Linked DNA regions of Drosophila melanogaster. The gene in region 3 interacts genetically with the main gene of each other region. Each region holds a gene or a part of one and is shown on either strand. Other genes may lie near its edges. The genes, in order: CalpB, 14-3-3epsilon, if and mtm.

What was found.
Region 1: of if (region 3) and CalpB, changing one enhances a phenotype caused by changing the other (phenotypic enhancement), as found in Drosophila melanogaster (one study listed by BioGRID).
Region 2: of if (region 3) and 14-3-3epsilon, changing one suppresses a phenotype caused by changing the other (phenotypic suppression), as found in Drosophila melanogaster (one study listed by BioGRID).
Region 4: of if (region 3) and mtm, changing one enhances a phenotype caused by changing the other (phenotypic enhancement), as found in Drosophila melanogaster (one study listed by BioGRID).

What each region holds. Positions count from the first base shown.
Region 1 is NT_037436.4:9,887,003-9,893,859, reverse strand, and holds CalpB (Calpain-B), read right to left. Parts: upstream 5,099-6,857; 5' UTR 4,577-5,098; coding exon 3,636-4,576; intron 3,570-3,635; coding exon 3,295-3,569; intron 3,077-3,294; coding exon 1,515-3,076; 3' UTR 541-1,514; downstream 1-540. Other genes in the region: CG6709 (uncharacterized protein), read left to right, coding at 80-151, 206-342, 396-540; Taf2 (TBP-associated factor 2), read left to right, coding at 5,291-5,340, 5,404-5,458, 5,521-6,857. UniProt on the Drosophila melanogaster protein: Calcium-regulated non-lysosomal thiol-protease.
Region 2 is NT_033777.3:18,240,761-18,248,692, reverse strand, and holds 14-3-3epsilon (14-3-3epsilon), read right to left. Parts: upstream 6,007-7,932; 5' UTR 5,848-6,006; coding exon 5,784-5,847; intron 1,261-5,783; coding exon 791-1,260; intron 723-790; coding exon 542-722; intron 479-541; coding exon 405-478; 3' UTR 114-404; downstream 1-113. Other genes in the region: CG7156 (uncharacterized protein), read left to right, coding at 6,635-6,730, 6,793-7,932. UniProt on the Drosophila melanogaster protein: Positively regulates Ras-mediated pathways. Acts downstream or parallel to Raf, but upstream of nuclear factors in Ras signaling. Three mutants have been isolated, that suppress the rough eye phenotype caused by mutated Ras1 (sev-Ras1 v12).
Region 3 is NC_004354.4:16,780,434-16,785,157, reverse strand, and holds the start of if (inflated), read left to right. Parts: upstream 1-1,723; 5' UTR 1,724-1,840; intron 1,841-2,612; exon of another isoform or gene 2,613-2,688; intron 2,689-4,083; exon of another isoform or gene 4,084-4,294; intron 4,295-4,724. Other genes in the region: mRpL22 (mitochondrial ribosomal protein L22), read right to left, coding at 195-412, 527-740, 814-1,083. UniProt on the Drosophila melanogaster protein: Alpha-PS2/beta-PS is a receptor for Tig, wb and Ten-m. Involved in the function and/or development of the olfactory system.
Region 4 is NT_033779.5:6,034,218-6,038,912, forward strand, and holds mtm (myotubularin), read right to left. Parts: upstream 2,799-4,695; 5' UTR 2,595-2,798; coding exon 1,061-2,594; intron 1,006-1,060; coding exon 680-1,005; 3' UTR 514-679; downstream 1-513. Other genes in the region: CG9109 (uncharacterized protein), read right to left, coding at 1-106; CG9117 (uncharacterized protein), read right to left, coding at 2,912-3,598; CG31643 (uncharacterized protein), read left to right, coding at 3,986-4,695.

The DNA.
Region 1 (6,857 bases), on a different chromosome or scaffold from region 3:
CTGCCAGGGGAAACCATTCTCGTTTGTACAAATTCGATTTAATACACTACACCACAACACCCAACACACATAATACACGATGGCCGATGATGAAGATAAACCAAAGAAGCACACGCTGGACAGCCTGTTCTTGGTGTATTCCAACTTCCAGGTATGATGAATGACCCGGTTAATTGAAGAGTAATTTTCATCTAAATGATGCCAGGTCATACCCACCGACATCGAGAACGAGTACTTTGACAGCATACTCCTCTCGCAGTTGGACGCCTGGCTAGAGCAGGCCAAGCTCATGCCCAATCCCATAACTCGAACTCAGACCGGTTTAATATACATGCGATACAAGTGAGTAACTACATCAAATCTACATATCATTCTTAATCAAATACATGTTTCAGGAAATGGCGTTTGGAGTACGAAGACTTTCTCGAGGTCCTAAATAACTTGGCATCCGATAACAATCTGGCTATAGATGAAATGAAGCAAATAATGATCGATGCTGGCGTCCCGAATGGTGCTGATGTAGTTATAGTCGTCAAGTAGATTGAATCATCACTGCATTTTATTTATATGCATACAAAAAGTCGGACAACAAATTATTAATAGTAACAATTGCATACAAGAGTAACTTTGATTAATTCACAAAAATTATAGTAAAATATAAAAGCATCCAACAAAAAGAGCCTCTAAACCCGATTGGTTAATTTCAGTTAGTTAAACACTTATTTTGACATAGAGGGTGCCTAATTAAGGTATGTTTTGAGATTACTGATCTGAAAACTAAATACAAAATATATGCGTATTACATTTTTTGATGTGATTCAATAAATTGACTGATATTCTGAAATTCTGCTTAAGCTTATAAATATTCGATGAGTTGGTTGGCTTGTTCGCTTCGCGTTACTTTCCTGATAATAATAACAACGTTTGTTTGGGTAACAGAGTTTGGCTGGACTTATTTCTAGCACCTGGGCAAATATGTGGACTGCTCGGAGCTAACGATGTTACAAAAATACATGCTTATTCATTCCGTATATCTAATAAATATTGTCGATGCGTTCTAATGGCTTTCCGAGCGTCTCATAGCGATTGTAAGGTAATAATGCACTGTTTGTACTAGTAAATTTCCGGCTCTTGACGAGGTGCATGGAGTGGATTTGCTATTGATGCTTGCTCTTAGTCATCCCTCCAGTTGCGCAGCATGGTAAAAAAAAATCTATAGCGTTAATTTTTTGAATTGTGTATGCGGGATTTATACTGTTTACCGTGCATACTCGTAGCAACCTCGTGCCGTTCCAAGGCCACTCCAATTTCGCCACATGATTTGTATTTCCGGATATGGTCATATAGATAAGATTCTCTTGTTGGCTCAGTGAGTGTATCTCTTTGCATCGCCGGATCGCATTGTCATGGATTTGTGTGTTGGCTTTCTCATTTGAATGCATGAATAATATGATGCACAGGTAGATTAAGTATACGTCGCACTTAGGATTAGATTAGTAGCAATTGCAAGTAATTTAAGAGTAAATTGTTCGCTCCAGCCAGTCGTCCAAGTTGAAGAAGGCCGTGTCCGAATTGTCCGTGTCCCGTTCGCGGAACATCTCGATGAATGTTCTAACCTTGATGGCACACATCAGGAAATCGTCGAATGGTATTTGTCCCTCCCGCGATCCGTAGCGATGGGCCAGGGCGTTCAGGAGCCGGTTGTTCAGATGATAGCCAGCCGAATTGAGTGCTCCGCGCAGATGGAATCCATCAATACTGCCAGTGCGACGGGTGTCATATAGCTTAAAGACCGCCCGCCACTTGGCAATATCGGTAAGCAGAGCTTCGAACTCCTCGAAACCAAGGCGACCGGAGCGATCCTTGTCCAGCATGGCTACCATCGAACGCACGGCATCCTTGGAGAAGCCATCACTGCCCACCATAACATCGCGCATAGAGTGGTCCAGGATGCGCTTCAGCTCCTGCCAGTCGACTTCCTCATCGCTGCCAGCCACGCTGTCGAACAGACGACGCAGTGCAATGCGCTGCGGATCATCCTCCTCCTTTGGAGTCGGTGGCGGCAGAGACGGAGCAATGCGATCGTCGGTCTCGCCAAAGCCAACCTCATCGTCGTTCTCCTCCATATTGTTCCTTGTCTCCGAGAAGACGCGAATAATGAACTCGCCCTCCTCATTCGGATCGAAGGTCGATGGAACAATCAGGTAGTGGCCAGGTGGCAACTTAAACCGGGCGCAAACCTCGCGCGTGTTGATAAAATGTGGTGAACGCGCCACCGATGCTCGGTACTTGAAGAAGTTGAGTCCCTGGGGCTTCACTTGCATGTCACGGTCTGTGAGATGATATATAGCAAATCCGATGGTCAGACAGTCGATGCCCACGTTGCGCTTGCTACGTCGATTCTTCTGCATAAGGGCCACAATAGCCGTGCATTTGCCATCGTCATCCTCGTCGTCGGGATCCTCCAGCGAAATGATGTACTGCGGATTGTGCCAGAAGGTTTCCAGGAAGTTTCTGCAACCGCCGGCTGTTACTCCCGATGTCCACTCACCCTCGAACATGGACATTTCCCACTTGCGGCGAGAGCTGTGCTGCTGATCCTCAGTCAGCGAGTCGGGCGACAAATTACATATCTCCACGCGATCAAAATGATTGAGGAAGTCCTGGAAGGACATCCAGAACTCGCCGTCCCTATCGAAATTCAGGCCAATCTCCTCCTTCGTGTGCTCCGGAATAAATCGCCACTCAGGCGAGCTGTCGCTCCACGGACCGCTCCATTCGGCATCGTTGCCCCATGGATTACGCATACGTATCATGGGCAATTTTCCCTGCCGATTGGGCGTCGATATGTCCATGAGGCACACCTTGGTAATGGAGTATGCATGACCGCGAATCAAACCTTGTGGCGTCTCCGCTTCCAGAACATGTGGATCCGGCTCCAAAGAGCAGCCCATCATCGAGCCACGCTCGGCGGCCTTCATCATGATGCTGAATAGATTTGGGGGCGCCTCCTTGATGTCGTACCACTCGGTGACGCCGCCAGTAAAGTCCTCCATGGCCTCGCACGTGGTGCCGCCTAATCGTGAAGAGATGGTTACAAAAAAATTATTAGAATGAAAGTATTTAAATTTCAGATCTATTCAACAAAGTCCTAACCGCGATAAGTGCCACATTAGTTTATTTTTTTTTAAGAACATATGATAAGCATAGTGTATTTTTAGAAACTAAAATAAATTTTGGTATGCCACAAATTTTCTACGCTTCTACAAATACTGATAATATTCCATTTCCTACCCTTGAGTGCTTCATAAGATCCATGCAGCTTTGCATAAGCCTTCTCCAGCAAGGCACTCCAAAACTCGTTCTTCTCCGTGGAGTGCATGTAGATTAGCTCGCCATTATAGGTGGGCAGACGGTCATCAATGACCACTTCCACCCACTTGCCATACTGCCAAAACTTGAAGTGAAAGATGCCAGCGTAGTTCTCCTGGAAGTCCTGATCCGGCGGGATTACCCTAAAGAAGAGCGTCGAGTCCTGCGTCAAATTGGCAGCTGCAGCCAGTAGCCAGCTGTGAAGGAATATTTAATTTTTGAATTTATGTCCACTTATGTGTTATTAATGCGTTTGGTCTTACCAATCGCCAAGTTCTCCTTGTTGCACATCGAATCGTGAATAGCCTTCCACGAAGAACTGCGGATCATCGGCGATGTCACCGGGACGCAGCCACTCGTAGTAGCGATCCGGTCGTCGTGAGTACATCAGCGAAGCGTTGGTGGCCGGAAAATCGGGATCCTCGAACATGGTTCCATTAGCCAGGCAACTGTCGCGCAGCGATTGGAAATCGCCTTTGCTTACGCTGTTCTGCCGGGCACTAGTGGCCTTGCGACCCATCCAAAACATGTTCTGGTTCTCGGGCACCTTCACGCTGGTGAAGCTTAGCTCGGCCACGCCGACGGAAGGTTCCTCCTCCTGGGTTGGAGCACTTTCCGGTGGCGGTGCCGTGGGATATGGTAGTGCTGGGAATCCGATATTGTGCTGGGGAGCCGGACTCGTTGGCATGGGAGCGTACGGCATTGGCATACCGGGCAAACCGGGCATGGCAGATGGATATGGTGCGAGCGGAGCCGCCGGATAGGGTAGATTGGGCTGCGGCATGCCAGTTGGATAGGGCATTCCGGTTGGATAGGGCGCCATAGGCGCAGTGGGGTACGGCAGCGATGATACGTTGGCTGATGGCAGACTAGGATAAAGTCCTGATCCAGGGTATGGCGTGGCACTGGGGTATGGAGCCGGCGCTGAGGGGGCTTCTGGCACGGGCATTCCCATGCCCATGGTGGGTCCCGCATACGAAGCATTCTGGGCATGACTCGTCTGCTTTACCACATATGGCATTCCGCCCACGGATTCGGATGATGGATAGGGCAACGAGGGGTAGAGACCCGCTTTGGGTTTGGGAGCTCCTCCTCCTTCGTTCCCGCCGCTGACTTCATTCTTGCTGTAGCCCAAGGCCGCCAAATTGACAAGGCCAATGCCACTGGCATGATAATTCTTGGGGTAATTATCAATGCCGTACATTTTTACTGGTTTTTCGCTGTGGTTTTCCTCGTCCACGCACTGGTTTTTCCCTAAATCTAACTACTAATGGCGTTGCAAATCGGCTAAAACTACGGAACTGGATGATATCCAGATGTTTATTAACTCGCTGCCGTGGTAAAACTGCTGACTCGCTGAGAATCGTACGCTTTAAATGGGAGAAGTATCCAAATTTAACTTTCTCGGTAAATGATTCATAATCTTTAACCCTTGCGCGTTCTGTATAAATTTTCTTTGAATATGCATGTGCAATCAAAAAAGCTTTGAAAATGCAGAATGAAATATTTATAACATTCTAATTCATTTATTAACTCAGAAAATATATTATAGAAATATTAATTTTGTTTTATTAAACAGTTTCAATAAAAACAAATATAGCTTTTAATAAATTTTAGTTTTCTAAAAAATGTATTTTTATGGTATTAGAGAAGTAGTTATGTAGTCTATATTGTTTACGAACGTAAACTATTAAATTAGTGTCAATATTGAAGACCCAACACGTTTCGAGGGTTAAAAAAAGGCGAGCAGGGCTACATTGTCGCGCAGAGTTGCCATCTTTATCCGAATGAATTTGGTATTTTTTTAGCCCTGTCGGCATTTTCAATAGAAGAAGAAGAAGTTAAACAGTGCTGTGTTTTTTTTTATAACAAACGCAAATTAGTTAATAAATTCTGGCGCAGAACCGGCATTTGAGCGATGGAAACGCAACCTGAGGTGCCCGAGGTGCCGCTGCGACCGTTTAAATTATAAGTATTCACCCTGCTCTGTTAGGAATCCAAAAATAATGAGTTCTCCCTTTTGAATAGCACGGCGCATCAGGTTGTGAGCCTCACGGGCATCAGTTTCGAGCGGAGGAGCATAATCGTAAGGATATAACTTAGATACACTTAAATATGTACAAAACATAACACACCTCCTCCCTTTAGGGCGTGGTCGAGCTGACCATTGTGCCGAACAGCGAGAATCTGCGCCTGATACGCCTGAATGCCAAGCAGCTGAGAATCTACAGCGTCGTTTTGAACGATGTCTGCCAGGCGGATTTCACGTACTTCGATCCCTTCCAGAACATCTGCTACAAGGAGCACAAGAGCCGCGCGCTGGAGGTCTACTCCAAGCATCATCTGACCGCCGCCCAGTACACCGATCCCGATGTGAACAACGGCGAACTGCTCATCCAGGTTCCGCCCGAGGGCTACTCTATGATCCAGGAGGGTCAGGGTCTGCGCATCCGCATCGAGTTCTCGTTGGAGAATCCCAAATGCGGCGTACATTTTGTCATACCACCCGCTTCAACGGACGAGGAGACACAGATGAACAGCTCGCATATGTTCACCAATTGCTATGAAAACTCGTCGAGATTGTGGTTTCCCTGCGTGGACAGTTTCGCCGATCCCTGCACCTGGCGGCTGGAGTTCACTGTCGACAAAAATATGACCGCCGTTTCGTGTGGAGAACTTCTAGAAGTCATTATGACCCCAGATCTGCGAAAGAAAACCTTCCACTATTCGGTTAGCACACCAGTATGTGCACCAAATATTGCGCTGGCTGTGGGTCAGTTTGAGATCTACGTGGATCCGCACATGCATGAAGTGACCCACTTTTGTCTGCCCGGATTGTTGCCGCTGTTAAAAAATACGGTTCGCTATTTGCACGAGGCATTTGAATTTTACGAGGAGACCTTATCTACGCGCTACCCATTCAGTTGCTACAAACAAGTGTTTGTAGACGAATTGGACACGGACATAAGTGCCTATGCCACTATGAGCATTGCTTCGGTGAATCTGCTGCACTCCATAGCTATCATCGATCAGACCTATATATCTCGAACCTTTATGTCGCGCGCTGTGGCTGAGCAATTCTTCGGCTGCTTTATTACATCCCATCATTGGTCGGACACCTGGCTGGCCAAGGGCATTGCGGAGTACCTGTGTGGATTGTATTCCAGGAAGTGCTTCGGCAACAACGAGTACCGTGCTTGGGTGCAATCTGAACTGGCGCGTGTCGTTCGCTACGAGGAGCAGTATGGCGGCATTATTCTCGATTGCAGTCAGCCGCCAGCTCCTTTGCCTGTTTCGGGCACAAATCAATCGGCGGCTTCCAGCAAACAGCAGGAGATTGTCCACTATTTTCCCATCAAGAGTTTGCACACCGTATCGCCGAAGTATGTGGAGGCGATGCGAAGGAAAGCGCATTTCGTAATCCGGATGCTGGAGAACCGCATCGGGCAGGAGCTGCTGATTCAGGTGTTCAATAAGCAATTGGC
Region 2 (7,932 bases), on a different chromosome or scaffold from region 3:
AATTTTTTATGTTGCGATTCGATTCTGGGCCGCAGCAACAGCCGCGCCACGCCCACCAGGCCGCCCAATTTTCAAACATTTTGCTTGGATAGTTGTTTTTTTTTTCTGTTTTTGTGCTGTTGTTTTCCATGCTGTTTATTGTGGATGACAATTTGTGTTCCTGCTGCTTTGCTTGCTGTTATCATGTTGCAAATATGTTGATACACATACGGGTGCTGCTGTTGTGGTGATCGACTGCTATGGTTGTTGTTGCCGCATTGGTTCCATGTTGTTGTTCTTGAAGTTGTTGTCGTGTTGTTGTTGATTTTGTTGTTGTTGTTGTATGCATATATATTATATGGTATTATATTTACTTTAGAAGGTATATAATGTGTTTTAAATGGAAGGGCGGGGGTTTACTTAAATTACGACACGTCCTGATCCTCAACATCCTGGATTTGCTCTTTGGGCTCGCCATCACCTGCGTTGGGGTCTACTTCTTAGTATAATATTTAGAACTTAATAACGGAGCCGAACAAGTGGATGTGATATTACAACTTACCTTCTGCCTGCATATCGGACGTCCATAATGTGAGGTTGTCGCGCAGCAGCTGCATGATGAGTGTCGAGTCTTTGTAGCTCTCTTCGCTCAGTGTATCCAACTCGGCAATGGCATCATCGAAAGCGGCTTTCGCCAAGCGGCAAGCGCGGTCCGGCGAGTTGAGAATCTCATAGTAGAACACCTGCAAGGATTTTAAAATATATATATAGAAAACATATGACGACATCGTGTCTCTTCACAATCACTCACCGAGAAGTTCAATGCCAAGCCCAAACGGATGGGGTGTGTTGGTGGCAGATCGTTCATGGCAATATCGCTGGCCGCCTTGTAGGCAATCAGCGAGTTCTCTGCCGCATCCTTGCGGTCGGAGCCGGTGGCGAATTCGGCCAGGTAGCGATGGTAGTCGCCCTTCATCTTATAGTAGAATACTTTGCTTTCGCCGGATGTGGCGCATGGAATGAGATGCTTCTCGAGCACGTTCAGTATATCCGAGCAGATGTCGCGCAGCTCCTTCTCCACCTGTCCGCGGTAGGTTTTGATCATCTCCAATTTCTCCTCGGCCCCCTTGTTCTCCTCCTTCTGTTCGATCGAGGTGATGATGCGCCACGAGGCACGGCGTGCTCCAATCACATTCTTGTACGCCACCGACAGCAGATTTCGCTCCTCGACGGTCAGCTCTACGTCCATGGAGGCGACCTTCTTCATGGCCTCCACCATTTCTGTAAAGAGGACATAACAAATGAAAGGTGTGGTCTTTAGTATATAAGAGTAAATGTTTACAATAATCAAGTGTAACATCTCAAACCAAATTTAAGGGATTGCCCATTAACTAACGATTAGTTTAATCATTAGTTCGCATATATGTATATTCATTCTGCAATGCCTAAGGAAAATATACATCATTAAACAAATACTTCATTTGAGTGAGTAAGAAGTAATGTTTATGATGTAGTTTAAACAATGCTATCGGACGCTATTTTATCAACAATTTCGTAGAATACAAATGTTTGTTTGATTGTTCATATAATTTTTGAATTGCTTTCATATATTTCATGTTAAGATTAAAAATAAAAACCAAACATTTCAATTGGAAAGCCAACAAGATACATACATTATATACATTTTGCGTAGATAAATTTATCCAAGGTATGGAAGGCTTGTTATCTGGACTTTCCTCCCGCTTGTCCTTGTCCCCTCGCGACAGCCTAGACTACCTATTTTCCATTTCTTATCGCCGACACGCCCAATCCGCGATGATATATAAGTTATGCAGATATATTTATGCATAAGGTGGCGTTGCGTCTACGCCTGATTTAGCTGGTTCTGTCATACCAATACCAATACCAATACCAATACGGGGCCATCCAATCAGCCGGTGATAAGGGCTTCCGCCACATTGTTGCACCCAATCCTATCGTCCCCATCGGGGGCATCTCTATCTGCGTCTGCATCACCATCTAAAACTGCGTCATGAATCACATGTTCGGAACTCAACACGGAAGCAAACAAGGAGCTCGTTTATCAAATTAAAGTGAGTAGGTTAAGAGCTGATATCATTTGGCCATTTCATTTCCTTTTTCGAGTCAGTCAATTGAAGTCTAAATATATTTCGAAGTTCATTTAAATGCTTTTCGGGCATATGATTAGTATTTGGAATTATGCAAGATTAGTTTTTGATATCTGACCAAAGGAAATGTAAGATATTTCCGAACCAAATCATCTAAATTATCATTGCAGTGCTGCCTGTCTGGGTAAAGCCAGTTGCAGGCTAACTATCTCGGGCATATCTGGTGGCTGATAACAATACAGAGCTAGACTACACTACTATTCAAAATATTGTAATTGTAGCGCGTTTGCTGACTTGCACTGTCTGCCCTCTCTCGCTCGCACCCGCTGCCCGTCAGCTGCTGACGTATTTCGCACACCAACACCCCCATACATACACACACACTAGCACTCACACACAAAGACATCGGGACATTTGCCGACTGTCTGCTTATTAGTGCGATTTTTGTTGTAGCACGTATTTGTGAAAAATTGCCAATAAAGTTGCATGATTCACGAATATTTGTGGCTGTGATTGAACTTCAAACATTGTTGTTCGCATTGGCGGGCTGTTTGAAACCAATGTGGATGATGATGTGCACACGCATTTTACAACGCTTGCAAGCTATGCTGAGTTACGCATAAAAAATGAACTTGAGAGTGGGTAGGGAGGGGGAAGGGGAGGGGGAGCGCAGTTGGGTGGTGAAGGGTGGCTGGGATCCTTGCAACTTTAAAAGTATACAGCACATGTTGCTTAGTAGTAAGTAATCCACAACCAATTATGAGACATGCGCGTCAGACCAGTCACTAAATCATGTACATATAGCAAGGCGAAAATCAATAAACGCGTCCCAAAAATAAAGAGCCAAGTCCCGCGGGCATGATAAATCATTTGCGGAACCACGAAGTGGTAAAAAGAAATGTATGGAAACTTCTCGAATCATATGAACTTTCAGTAGAAAGTGCAAAGTTCACGAAAGTCTAGCAAATTTGGCGAAAATAGTATGGAATAGATTCTAAGTAGATTCGTGAGTAGTTGAACTACATTTGAAAAGTATTCATCTTTTTTATTATAAAAAATGATTAATCTTTTTCATAAACAAGTTGATTGCAAAGATGAGCGTGGTCATCTCAATTGTGTTGTTTTTCCAAGAAATAAGTATTGGAATTTGATAAACTAGCGACAACCCTGCAAAGGCAATCCACCACCACCCAAAAGTAAAAAGAAGTCACGCGAGCTGGAATGAAATATTGGGACGAAATAGGGAGCAAAAGGAATGGGCAGGATTTTCCACCCCCTCCTACCAACACGCCCCCAGAGATCCACCCCTCCCTTATGAGACGCCTGTGGGTGTGTCTTGCGCTCGTGTGGGTATGAGTGCGCGTGGTTTTGTGTGTGTGTGTATGTGTGTGTGTGTGAGTCGCATAAGGGCGCAGCAGCTGAAAAAACATGCGCACATACCGTTACAGCGGGCAGAGAATGTGTAATTAGACAAAGGAAGCAGCAACAACAGCCCCTAAAATGGTGCAATTTGAGCAAAAAGCGAGCAACAAACAAAACACACCTAACACCACCGCCACCCACCGCCCATCAATCAACCGTATGTATGCTACTTTTTCCACTCATTTTTTTTTTGTCTGCCTTTTGCGCATATTGACGACATTGACGAGAACGAACATCAACGGAAAAAGCAGCGCGCGACCTCGAAAAAAATGTAGATAGAACGCAGAGAGCGCAAGATGGAAAGAGCATGGAGCGGGGGATGGTGGGCGCAGGGGGCAGCACCTGAGAAAGCACACTTAAAGGCTGACGTTAATGTGTGCAGAAAAGGGGAGCAGGGGTTTGAAGAGGAGATGAGATCAGGGGCGGAGAGGGCGAGGCAAGTTCAGATTGGGGGCGCAGACATTGCCGGCTGGCGGCTTTGCCGCTCCGCTTCGCTCTCCGCCGCGCTCTTTCTCTCTCTTCGCGCGCAATGGTATTGGTGCTCCAGCATGAGCTCCACCGCAAAATGTCCGAGTGTGACAAGGCCAACGCCAAGTGCTGCACACCAACGCACACCGATGGGCGAAAATAAGAAGACAAACATGTGATACAGACACAAATATCCCCACCAGTGGTGTATGTATGCATGTATGCCCTGTTTGTGTGTGCTAATAGTTGATTGACTTCTTTGCCGCCGCCACCGCCCGTTAATGTTGTCAGTTTTGCAGGCAATTAGGTGCAGAGTACCGTTTGCAATTATTGTTGCTATAGTCGCTGCCCAAGTACAGCAGCAGGAAGGAACGGCAGACAGAGGAATCGCCAAATGTTTGTTAACTTTTTACAGCCACTGTGCAGCGTCGCCGACACTTCGACACACTAGCCATCTCGTTTTGGCGCACGCAGCGTTTATGGCAATTGGTTAAGCGCGCGCTTTTTGCAAATGCCGAATTTGCCGTCCCCCTCCCACTGCGACTTTCTTTGCATTTTGAGCTGGCTTTTTAATTAATTGGAGTATTTTTAATTAAATATAAGCAAAGGCTACAGAAGAAGCAACAATAAAAACCGCCCGGCGGACACTCATCGGCACACGCACACCTCCGTACAAACACACACACACACGCATGCATACATGCGCATAAGCATGAGTAATGCGAGAGTAACAGAAGAAGCACAGAAAAATTTTATATTTCCTTTTTTCGCATTATCAGATAGGGTTGCCAAGTGGCCGCATAACTGCTTGCAACTAGCCGCAACTAATTTGCATAAATAAAGAATTAAGCAATAGGCAGAAAGTGAGAGAGGGAGACAGCCGGCGACACAATCGATTCATTCATCGATTTTTCGCAGCAACGGCATGGTGACGACGCCGCTGCTGCGCATGAAAAGCACATTTCGTGGAAAAAAAGGGGGAGGGGGTCTGAAAGAGAGGACTGCACCTACCCCTGCCCCACAATCATTGATTTTGGGTGTGGAATAAGTGTATTTAAGAAACTAGAATCCCCAAAAAATGTGTCGTTTCTAGAAAGTTACGCCTTGACAACTACTAAGAAAGAAAAAAAAAGAACGCGAACTGGAATCAACTGCAAACAGCCCTTAGCAACCAAGGAAGAAAATAAAATGCTAGCTGCCGCGCAGCCCTTGCTCGCAACGCCAAATACACAAAATTTTCCCCTTCTAAACTAATACTATATAGTTCCAAAAAAGAAAGAGCGGAGCAAACTATTTGCTGTAAATTATAATACGCAATTCCGTTTCTTTCTCTTTTTGTGCAAAACCACGCGAATTTTTGCCGGTAAAAATCAGGTTTTACACTCTATTCATCTCTTTTCGTTCTTCCGACGCTCTGCTTCTTCTTCGGCTTCTTCCTCTTCTTACTGTTTCCTCCATCTCCCGTTCTTTTCGCAAGAAATACTACTCATCGCGACGCTGCGTCGCTTCGAATGCAGCTACAGCGATGAAAATTGAAAATTTCCATCGTTTTCTCTGGAAGAAAACCTTTTAATTGGCACATTCGGACGAAAAGCGGAGCTCTAGACTTTTTCAACGACCACGCGACGACGCAATGGATCGGGAAGACAAAAAAAAATCCCAGGCGACCCCTCCCCAAAAACGTTGGCGCTCCTCAGTCGAGAAAATTTTTTCCCTACTCTACTAGCATTTGTCTACCGTTTTCTACCATTTTTGCTACCATTTTTTTTCGGAATCACTACTCACCGTCGTAGCGCTCGGCCTGTTCGGCCAGCTTTGCCTTGTACACATTGTTCTCGCGCTCAGTCATTGTGTTGAAGCCTTTTCGGTAAAATTAATCCACAGAAAAAATTATTTAAATGCTCCCGGTACGTGCGGCGTCGATTTTGCTTGCTGCCTGTGGTTCGTCGCCTTCTTTTTTCTCTACTTCTCGAGCGGTGTGACCGTATCGGGCGGCGGTTGAAACACTAAAATTGATGGGCGATGGCCTAATGACGGACTTAAAAACGCATCACGCGTTCCGTGCGCATGCGCAAGCGATGGTGGTAAAATCGGAAAAATTTCTTTTTAAAATGGTATTTCTATCTGGATATTACTTGTGAAAATCCGTTTGTGTGAAGCTTTTATTCGGAAGTTTTAAAATGTTATAGTAAATTGACACATTTAAAAAAGCTATAGCTATAAATATGTTGTATTAAATGAACACATGAAGCAATGTCGTTAGCAGGGACTTCCACCTTTTCTGTGCAATTCAATTTGTCATTAGTCATGACATAACCCACATGCACTGCAGACTATCGATACTTATGATACTTTCGATTAGAGTATAAATTTTAAATTTTAAAATGTGACCGTTTTTTATTTTAAATAAAAGTGTTTAAAAAACAGTTAATATTTTTATGGTTTAATTTAATCCTTCTAAGTTAAAAAAATAAGCTACTAAATGCTCTTATTTAATTTCGAAGTCCGGAAGTGGTTATTTTGGCGTCCTTTGGTCACACTAGCTTTAATGTTGCAAAAAAGTTGGGGAACAACGACATTTGATATGGGAAATATGTTTAGAAACTAAACCACCAGGTCTTGCAGCAGAAACCAGAATGACTCTCAACCTGGGCGGCTGGATCCACAGCTTCACAGTGACGGACACCCAGGAGCACAAGGGCGGGTACACAATATACAAAATCACCTCGATTGTAAGTCGTTTTTTTTGGGGGCAGATGAACTGTTCCAAATAGTAAACCTCACCCACTTTTAGGTCTTCCCAAGGTCGGTACCTCAAGCTCTGACCTGCCTGGTGGTGTGGAAACGGTTCCACGATGTCAAGCGGCTGCATCGCGAGCTTAGCCGGCGCCACAAGAGTCTCCAACTACCCGGCAAGTTGCCAGTGCCCACAGATAGCACATATTTCAAGAGATTCGATGCGGCAGTCATCCAACGGCGTAAGGAGTACATCCTGCAATTATTAGACTTTGCAGCGCAGCATCCGGCGCTGTACAAGTGCTCAACCTTCACACAGTTCTTCCAGGAGACACCCTCGCCAAACGGATCGCCACTTAAGAAGCTATATGTGGAGCGATCCCTGCGGCTGCAGACGGAAGACAATGGCTGCGGAAGTGGCGGTTCGGAAACAGGAACTTGCGCTGGTGCCATAGCCGACATTTGCGATAAACTAGACTTGCCCTATGACCCACACGACGCGGGGGGCATCACGCCTCTAGATCCGCGCTGTGATAAGGAGCAAACGAACAACGAATCCCAGGCCAAAGAAACTGAAATCGAATTAGAAACGAAACAGGAGCCCAAGACAGACGTAGCGCTGACCAAGAGGGATTATCTCCGCCTTCTGACGCCCATGGCTTCCATAGAAAGCGACGACAGCGACTACATATATGAGGCGGCTCTAGAGTTCAGTCATGCCGTCCAAGCGGAGGTTAACCTGGAGTATGCCGAAGCCCACGAGAGGTACAAGCATGGTGTGGACCTGCTGCTCAATGGGGCCAAGCAGGATAGCAGTGAGGAGCGTAGATTTATAGCCAAGGCGAAGATAGCCAAATACTTGGCGCGGGCTGAGGAGATTCACGCCAATTTCCTGGCCAACGATTGTCCGACGAAGAAGCTGCAGTTCCAGCTCTCGCTGGACACGACAGACGGCGGTAGCGTGAGCCATTTGGAGTGCCCCTGGAATCAGTTGGCACGCTACAAGGTGCTGCAGATTCTCCAGGACCGTGTGATGCAGGTGCAGTGTGTGACGAAATCCCAGCAGCCGGCTGCCATTATGAAGGGCGTCGAGAAGCCGGCCAGTCACTCGCTGACCCAGAGCATCTTTCTGCCCCAGCAGGTGCCTTACATGGTCCAACTGCTGGCCTACTTTCAGTCGGAGCAGAAGATTTTTCTG
Region 3 (4,724 bases):
GCAAAACTAAATAAAATAAACTCCTCTAAGTAAAAATAAGAACAATATGAACCTCTGACATAGTTCTTTTGTCTGTTTCTATTTTATTAAACAATCTTCTAAAACCAAAAAAAATGCTTAATGCGCGTGGACGCGATGGCGATGGAGGACTGCAGGAGTGCGGATCGATTGCATACGAGTGCCAATTCAGGTGGCTACAGCGAGTTGATGATCTTCCGGCTTCGCATCTGCTCCATCCAGCTCTCGTACTGCTGCTCCGGCGTCTGCGGCTCCTGGTAGTAGTGCTGCGGCGGCTCGCCCTCCTCCAGGCGCACGAAGTAGTGGCAGTGCTTGTACTCCACTTTGCCGAAGCGACCGCGAGCATGCCGCCTCACGCCCTTGAAGACGCGTCCCTTGCCCACGAAGGATTCGGCTGGTAGGTAAGAACAGACAAAGATTCATCAATATAATGGTTAGTGATGAAGAAACTAATGATAATCCATCATTCATAGTGGATACATAGATTCCTTGTGCCCCTGCGGCTCACCTATCCACAGATTGCTCTTGTACTCCACGTTATGCCGCTCCACGGCTATTTGCTGGGCCTCCAGTATGGTCTCCTTCACATCGGTGGCCCCCTTTTTGAGCACAAAGTTCAGCTGCTTCAGCGCCTCGTCGACGGACATTCCGCGAACAAAGGCAGCGATGTACCACATCTTGTCCGGACTGTATTTGATGTTGCTGCGCATGTGGCAGACATACTGTGCAATGCAAGTGGATTAGAGGATTGCAGCTGGAGGGGTAACAGCAGTGCGTTCGAAATATGTATCTTACAGCATTTCTGGGCTCCTCGTCCGTTTCCTGCGGCGGATGCACGGTCTTGTTGTACTCCAGCCATTTGCGGGGTCCGTAGTTGTACTTGTTCCACTTGGCGCACAGCATTCCGGCGGAAGCGGCCGTGTGCAGGGATTTCGACTGGAGGGCAGGTGGTGAAACTGGTGATATGGCTGGTGATATTGAGCTGCTATCCGCCGATCGGAGGAGCGCTGCTCCCTGTGGCGCCTGCAGGCGCAGCTGGGACATTTGCCGGATCACCTTGTGCATCTTAGCTTGCTTGAGTTATCACAGCAAATCCAGGCAATTCAATCCGGAAGGGAAAACGCAGACTTTCCGTAAAAAAAATAATCGCGTAATCTGCCAGTGTGACCAATGGCAGCAGGTATGCCGTGGACCTAAAACGTACCGCACAAGCGGCTGATCTGCGAGCGGTATGGCAGCGTTTGATTAGGATATGTAAACATCTGGCAGCGCTATCGATATTGCTTGAAAATATATTTATTTATTAGATTTAAAAAAAAACTTGTAAAAGCAAGTTGGTACGACATAAAATTATTAACTTAAATAAGAGCATATCAGCAATTCACATTTAGAAGCCATTAAAATAATGCATTGAAACGGAAACATTTATCTCCACACAAATTAGCAATTAATACACATTTTCATAAAAATATGAAACCTAACAATTAAAGTACCCATTTGGAATTGACCATCTTTAAAGTATATTAAAATTGAAAGACATAAATATTCCTTATGCACTATGTAACTATTCTAGTTCAATATTATACACTTAAGTTGATCGTTCTCAACAGCGCGTCGCGCTCACTTTTGAATCGCCCAACGATCTGGCATCCCTGCGTGAAATTTGAAATTGTATCTGAGGAATTGCTAGCCATCTGAGTGCTGCATTCGGTGGCGTGAAGCGAAAGTTGCCTGGTGTAAAGTGCGGAGCGCTCGCGTTCGAAACGGAAATTCAACGGGCGCCAGTTTTGATTCAAATTCGCGTATGCAAATGCAATCGATGGTAATTGAACGGCGAAACATTTATATTTGCGTGTTATCTGATACATATATCCAGCCATCGAAAATGTTTACCGGAGTTTCGAGGGCTCATTGTTTGTTTTCATTAATTTGCATTGCCAGTTTGCTCTGCCTCGGTTAGCCGGCGAATTTGCTCGTATAGTCGAATTGCACTACATTCCGAGATCTCGTGATTGCGAATCTAAACCATCTGGATAAATGGGAAAACCCATTTTCACTGCAGCGTTCTCATTTTCGAGGCAGAATTAATTTGCACCAACGCACATGCGAAAATGTTGCATATCGTGCAATTAAAACTTATAGATTTCAAAGCTCATTTAGTTAAAACTTTGAAAAAAGTGTATTTACCTTTTTCGAATTTTAAAAAATATATACATTTTTTTAATTTCCGAATGGATATAAGCTTGTGTATATGAACATAAAAATCATAAATTTATATGTGATTCCATTTTCGAAATAAACGTTCTTCCATATGTACATATGGCCCAACAAAATGACACATCAAATGGTCGAAACTTTTGCTAACGGAAATTACAGACTTCCCACACGAAACTCACCTTTGAAATTTTTTTCGAGTGGGATGCTCGCTACATACATGTGTAGATAATGAAAAAATAAAACTTTTGCTATCGTTTTGGTTGTTTGAGAGCTTTGCGTTTGTTCCGAGATCGCTCTCCCGAGTCTAAAAACTAGAGACTACATTGGTTGGGTATTGAGTAGGCGATCTGGCACGAGCAGTTCACCCATGTATCTCTGGCGGTGCTAAGATGTATCTTACAGATACTGTGCGCCATTAGTCGTCGTTTAAATCTTGCTGCGTTCGCTGCCGAGGTAGAGCAAACACCAAATGTCAAATAGCAAATCAAAATATAAATAATACAAACAATACCAATTGAAAGTGAACTTTACTTATTAACAGCACAACACGCGACGCGCCAACAAATTGCTTGAAACATTTTTTTCCAGTGTTGCAGCACCAGTGAAAAGTGCACCGACCAAATAAATTCCCAAAATATACGCATATTAAACAAAATCTGACAAAAAAACACAAACACAAAAGCCAAAATCAATAAACTAATGTCGCAGCTGTGTTTGCACCTCCGACATTTTGTGCAGTGTAGAATTCGATCTGTATATGCACGTCTATATATACATGTGCATATATACCTAGATATAGGCGGACTCTGCTGGGCGTAGCACACAGCTTCCAACTTTTTAGATTTATTTTTAGACAATGATCGTTTTTTCCACTATTTTGATGTGTTTTTTTTTCGTATTCATATCTTAACCATCTGGGCAAGATTGTATGGCAATTCCAGTAGTGACTGTTGCCAAATATATTCAATTGATGTGCAAAAAAAAGAAGAGAAGTGTTCAAAAAGGGTCTCAAACCTTTTACTTCAAAACTGAAGGTTATTTCGTTAATTAGTAGTTACAAGTTCAAATGATGATCAAATAAATGGGAAACGAAGAAATATTTTTAGAAACTTTCGCCAGCTTTTGCATTTAAATGCAAATTGCACGCTTAGGAAGTTATTTATGCAAATTTAGCAACTTTCAGTTAACAATTGTGTTCGCCTGGCAACGCATTTCAATTTTTAGCCTGCAATTTGTGGGCCACGAAATTAACTGTCTTATTTATATTGACACATTCGCCAGTCATTTTGAATGCCAGCCGCATGATCAATTTGTTGAATGTTAAATGGTGTACACCATATGGCGCGTTCTACAGCGAATTTTTAGGTTGTTTTTTTTTCCTCTCTCTCGCTTAATTATAATTCATTTTCTTGTCTATGAATGGCAGCCGCCCATCAATGAACTCGAATCGCCCACACTCGGCGGAAAAACTGGGCATAAAAAGTGGAAAATGTGTCAAATGTCACCTGCACAAAACCGCCTACAACTTGTGGGATTCTTTTCCGCCACAGAAACCTACGTACACTGCAAAAAATATCCAGCTCAAATACTTACTTAAGGTCTTGATTTCTTCAAGTACTTGCAACTGAAATAATATTTTGAATCGTTCGATACCAATTGCATTTTCAACTTTTCCTTGAAAGTTATCTTCAATTTAAACTAAAGTTGTGTGGGAAGGGCTGGCTGGCTGGCTTTCAATCTGGCTAAAAGTCTAATGGCTTTTTGGCCGTTATTTTGTTATTTTGGCCAACCTGTTTGACGGCCCATTACGTCACCATCACCATCATCGCGATGCTGAGCGTAGAACGCGCCAAAATCTAAGCATGCAGCAAAAAGAAAAAAATCCAAAAGCAAACATGAAACCGTCAAAAATGTCTAAAAACAACAAATCAGATTTTAGAATTAGACAACAATATATGAACGACCCGACTGATACCCTAGCATTTTGCTGCAGTGAAAAGGAGATGATTGAAATCATTTAAACAAAAAAAAAATAAAATAAAATAAATAATAAAAAGAAGTGAGAACCTAAAGTGATTTGTTAAAAAATTAACAAGAAACCGTTTTAATGAAAACAAAAGCTACTAAATATAAAAATATAATATAAACAACCTTACATGCAAAGAAATATAATTAAAACCTAATAATATAATAATAATCGATAAAAATAAGTTCAAATTATCGGATGACATGCATTTTATTGATTTTTTGGCATTGACAGTTTAATAGTAACGAATAATTTGAAAAGAAACTGAACCGTGTAATAAAGATACTCGTAATTGGCCCGACATCCGACTTCAGACATTAGATATCCGACCAGCCCTAACCACCCCGCCCACTCCGCGATTCCCAAGGCCAACAGATCTTGATTATGATGTTAAGCGAGAGAGAGAGAGAGAGCGGGCGAGTGGGTGCGAATGAGAGAGGAAGATCGCAGACGTTGAGATAGA
Region 4 (4,695 bases), on a different chromosome or scaffold from region 3:
GCGGGGGACAGGCGATAACCAGGAGCACCTCTCCTGGCTTGTTACTACCGCAGCATAAGCTTGCGAGGCACAGAAGCCCAAACAGCACACATATCCTAGTAGGCATAACTAATATCTATTGCGGAACTCTAAGAGTTCCGAACGCATTTCCTGATATTTTACAAACACCTGCCCTTTTCCTACCGGAAATCGGAACACGTCTGTCCCAATGAACGTGCGATGTCGTACTGAGGCAGCTGTGATTTAATTTTGGCGCAAAGCCGAAATGTTTTGTGTCCTGTGGTGTCAAAAGTGGGATTCGGGATTTAACGTGCGTAGTCCAACGCGCAGGCGCCTCTATGAAGCGGTGTTTATGAATGAATCACAAGGAGCGTGCAACAGTTGGTCACCTGTTTAGGTATCTTTTTGACATCCAAACTAGTTTAAGGCACATATAAAAGTAGCTCCACTGAGCTGCGAAAACGCTATACGATTTGAACTATATGATGTTATTCATGAAATAATTAAAACATTCTCAGACATTTAACACTTTAATTAGATTCGATAATGTGGTTCAATGATACAATGTTGAATCGACTAGTTTTCCATTTAAGAAAAACTTTTATTTGGAATTAGAACGTAGTTCACAATACGTGCACTACATATGCGTACAAGTAGGGGGAATAAAAAAGCAATACTATTAGTGCATAGGCGAGGCCAGTCGCGTAGTTGTCTGCATGCTGTTGCTGCGGTTGTTCGACTTGAGCCGCAGCTCGTTGACGAGCTTAAAGAGCTGGTCCTGCTTGGATAGCAGTTCGCGGGTTCGCTGGCAGCCATGCTGAGGAGCGCACAGACCAGGATTCCAGCGACAGTATAGGCCCTTCCACAAGCGGACCGATCTCACGCTGGCAATCGGACGCAGCACTAGCTCGGCGCCGTGCGTGAACGAGGGAAAGAGTGGATTCAAATACTGGTCCAGCGACGAGTTGATGTGCGTCCACAGGGATGTTGTCTTGTGCTTGAGATCTACAATAAATGTGAAAATTACTTCCAAGCCCATGCAAACAGCAATCAGTCTAACCTTCGGCCACACGCTCGGCCTCCGTGTTGCAGAGGAAGGTGCCGAAGCGGCACGAGTACAGATGATCCACGATGGTTATCAGGAAGTGCTCGTTGAACTCAAATGCGTTGTTGAACTGCTGGCTAACCTGCCAGACGCTATCGATAAATTGCAGGAACACCGGAGATCTGTCTGCATCCGAGTGCTTGTTGTCGCCGTGACCAATGCGTTGTTGGAACTTGTGGCCAAAGGAGAGCCACTCCTTCTCAATGAGAACCTCGAAACCGCGCACTGTGCGATAGTGCGGATCGAGCAGCAACATGGAAAGAGCAGTCAGCTGGGCTGTGCGATCCCAGCCGTCGGAGCAGTGAACTACGACGGAGGTGCTCATGGTCTCCACCTTGTCAACAATCCTAACGGCGCCGGCCAGGATGCACCTAATGTGCTTTAGCCACAGTGTGTTGTCAATAGCCGTCTGCCACTTTGAGTCGTCGGTGGTGGGGAAGCAAGCCTCCTTCACTTTGCGTAGGCTCTCCCGCATCACGTGGATGTTGTGTATGTCGAGGAAGTTGATTTCCACGTTCTTGTACGCGTCCTCTGACTCGTAGCCGCCGCCCTTGGCCTTGTTAGCAATCGCATTGGCGCTTGGTCGCGCATCCATGATGGTCAACTTGTCTGACTGGGCGTTCGCCTCCATGATAAAGCTTAGGTATGCTTCATCGTCGGAATTTCGCTTGCCACTTACACCCACCAGCGGCTGGGAACACCTTGTAATGGTCGCTTGAGTCCGTGGGTTCATCCAGGACAAAACCGGCAGGCGGCAGCGCGATCGGAACTGTGCCACGCGCCTCAGGAAATCATCGGAGGCCGCTTTGGGCACAGCCCACACGGCCGGATAGCTGTCGCAAATTGCGTAGGACTCGTTTAGCTTGGTCGCCCGCCACATATCGTTGGGAACGCCCAAGCGGCGCAGCTCCGCCAGCGGTTCATATACCGCCCAGCCGTCCCAGCCTCCGTTACCGTTCACAGAGTTGGCCGCGGCGTGGGCGAATGCAAAGAGGCGCCCACTGTACGAGAGCGGAAAGGCGTTGGCCTGCAGTTTCTCAAACACCGTCCTCCGCGAATGATTCTGCTGCTTGTGGGCGAATCGCAGGTTTCGCATGTCCTTGCAGAAAATCTCGATGCCGTACGAGTTCTCACCGCGAGACGTGGCACCTCCAATCTTCTCCACACGCGCGATCACGCCCAGAGGCACGTCGACGACGACGGGCGGCTCCTGATCCCGCAGGGGAAGCGACCGGAAGTACAGACGGTAGTTGGTTATGGTAAGAGCGCCGAAGACGGGGCCGCGGTACGGACACACGTAGGTCACGTCGTTCTTCTGGTCCTGGTCCTCTTCGCCCTCCAGATAGCCGAAGGGCGTGTCCCGCAGAATGCCGTTTTCTCCGCCACCGTGCTTGGAGCCCAGCGAACTGGACTTGGAGCTGCTGTCCAGAGAGTTGCTGCTGGCAGTCTTGGAGGCCAACTTGTCGGCCAGGCTCGCGGAGGGATCCATTTTCGGATGGACACGAGTGGTGTTTGGCTATTGTGTTGCTGGTTGCAGCTGTGTTTTCTTTTCCAATTGTTAGCTAAATGCAATTCACCAAAACTCATGCAGCAGTGCTGCCAACTCACGCAATATAAAATCATCTGGAATAATTTCCCATTCCTCCGACAAAAGTACCAAAGGGACATTATGTAGTGGCGGAAAATTTGATTTTTATGTATTGGAATTAATCAACTTATTTCAGACATTTAACTGGTAATCAAGGAAAGCTAGAACAATTCCGCTTTTAAAAAAATCTCTAACATATGTATTTAATGCTTAATAAATTAAGTGTTAGAAGTGGCGTCTTCTTTAAGTTTACAGCGCATTGATTGTGTGACAGAAAACATCGGACCATGTCCTGGGATTATAAACTCGCACAGTTGTGCCATTTTACTGCGCTCCTCGCGCTGCACCTTCTCGTTTTCGCTTCCAGCGTCCATCCAAATGTTCTCATCGTCGATGTCCTCGCGACGCTCGAAGAGATCTCCGGTGATACCGACCCGTCCACCCAGCTGGGAATTTTCCACAAGAACTGAAACGCAGCTGAGGGTGTGTCCTGGCGACCGCCTCACTACCACCTCGGCATTCGAATCTAGGGCCAGTTGCTCGTCTGGATTACCACTACCAAGGTGGTCCATGTAGAGGTCGTGATGTGAGGCACATGCGCCGACCAAATGCATTCGTGCCTTCTGAAACAGATAGTTGCAACCGATGTGGTCAGAGTGTCCGTGAGAGCAGACCACCACGTGGATGTCATCGACGCCTAGTCCCTGCTGGCCCAACAACGAACGCAGGTGATCTCCATCCCAGGCCGTCAGTGTGTCCACGATTATGTTGGTGCCATCCCGGCAGCGGACCAGTGTGCATGTGCAGTTAGCCCGCATGGCGGACTCGTCTCCTTCTTCTTGGCGAGAATAGCCGACCTGGAGCACGGTCACCTGGTTTCGTTGCGCAGGATCAGTGTATGCCATTGTTTAGTTGTTTAACAACGATAACGCTCTAGCCTATTAAATTATTTAGGGTCAGCTGCTTATCAGCTGTTGCTTACAAACAGAAATGTCAACTCGTCAACAACCTGTTGAAAACTAGAGTTGCCACTATGAAACTTTTGACGAAATAAACAAATTACTTACGAATTAAGTAATTACTTATCTAACTTGTATACCGCTAATCACAGTTCAGAAATTATTTTAAGTTTTTTTTTACACATTGATTCCATTATTGGTTTCAGTATAATGGAAATTAGGATTTCATGGCAACACCGACACCAGCTGATCGCCAAAAATTCACTCACATGTTTATACGGCGTAATTTTGTTATTATTCAACGATTTCTGAATAAGCGTGAGATAAAGTGGCATGTATCTGAACCACCTGCCGCGGACACAATGGAAGTACCTACAATACCTTCTGCGAGTGCGTCAGCTTCAGCTCCTGCGACGGCACGTTAACATTGGCGCAAAGCCGCCCATCCAAACAGCTGCCTTGCTGCCGGCATTGGGCCAAAAACTGAGGAAGCACTCGCAGCTGGTGAACGGAGATCTCCAAGACAAGTTTGGCGTGCCACGGGAACAGGATGCTCTTCTAACCCGACTGGAGGAGGCCAAGACGGGTAACCAGATTTTAGATGTGTTGGAGAGCTGTGACGGCCTGCAGAGCTCCCATGTGGTGATGGGAATCTCACTGCTGTGGAACATCTATCACGACGCGGAGCAGGCAAGTAAAGATGCCATCACGGATCGCGTGCTGCTTAACGTGCTCCCAAAGTTGGCCCCTTATGTACACCAACTGGAGATCGATGATCTCAGTAGATGCTACCTGTACCTGCGCAAAATGCATATACCAAACTCCGAGGCAGTCGTGGAGGCCGTGCTGACGAGATCTCTTCAATTAATCGAGTCACAAGTTGATGACGAAGTCATTCCCTTGACCTCCTTGTCTCGCCTCTCGGTGGGCATCAACTTGGAACGCGACTTCTTCACTCCGCTTGTGTGTAGGAACTTTATTCCGCACCTGGAACATCACATCAATTGGTGTCGCAGCGCAGAGCAGGTTCGCCTTCTGTCCAC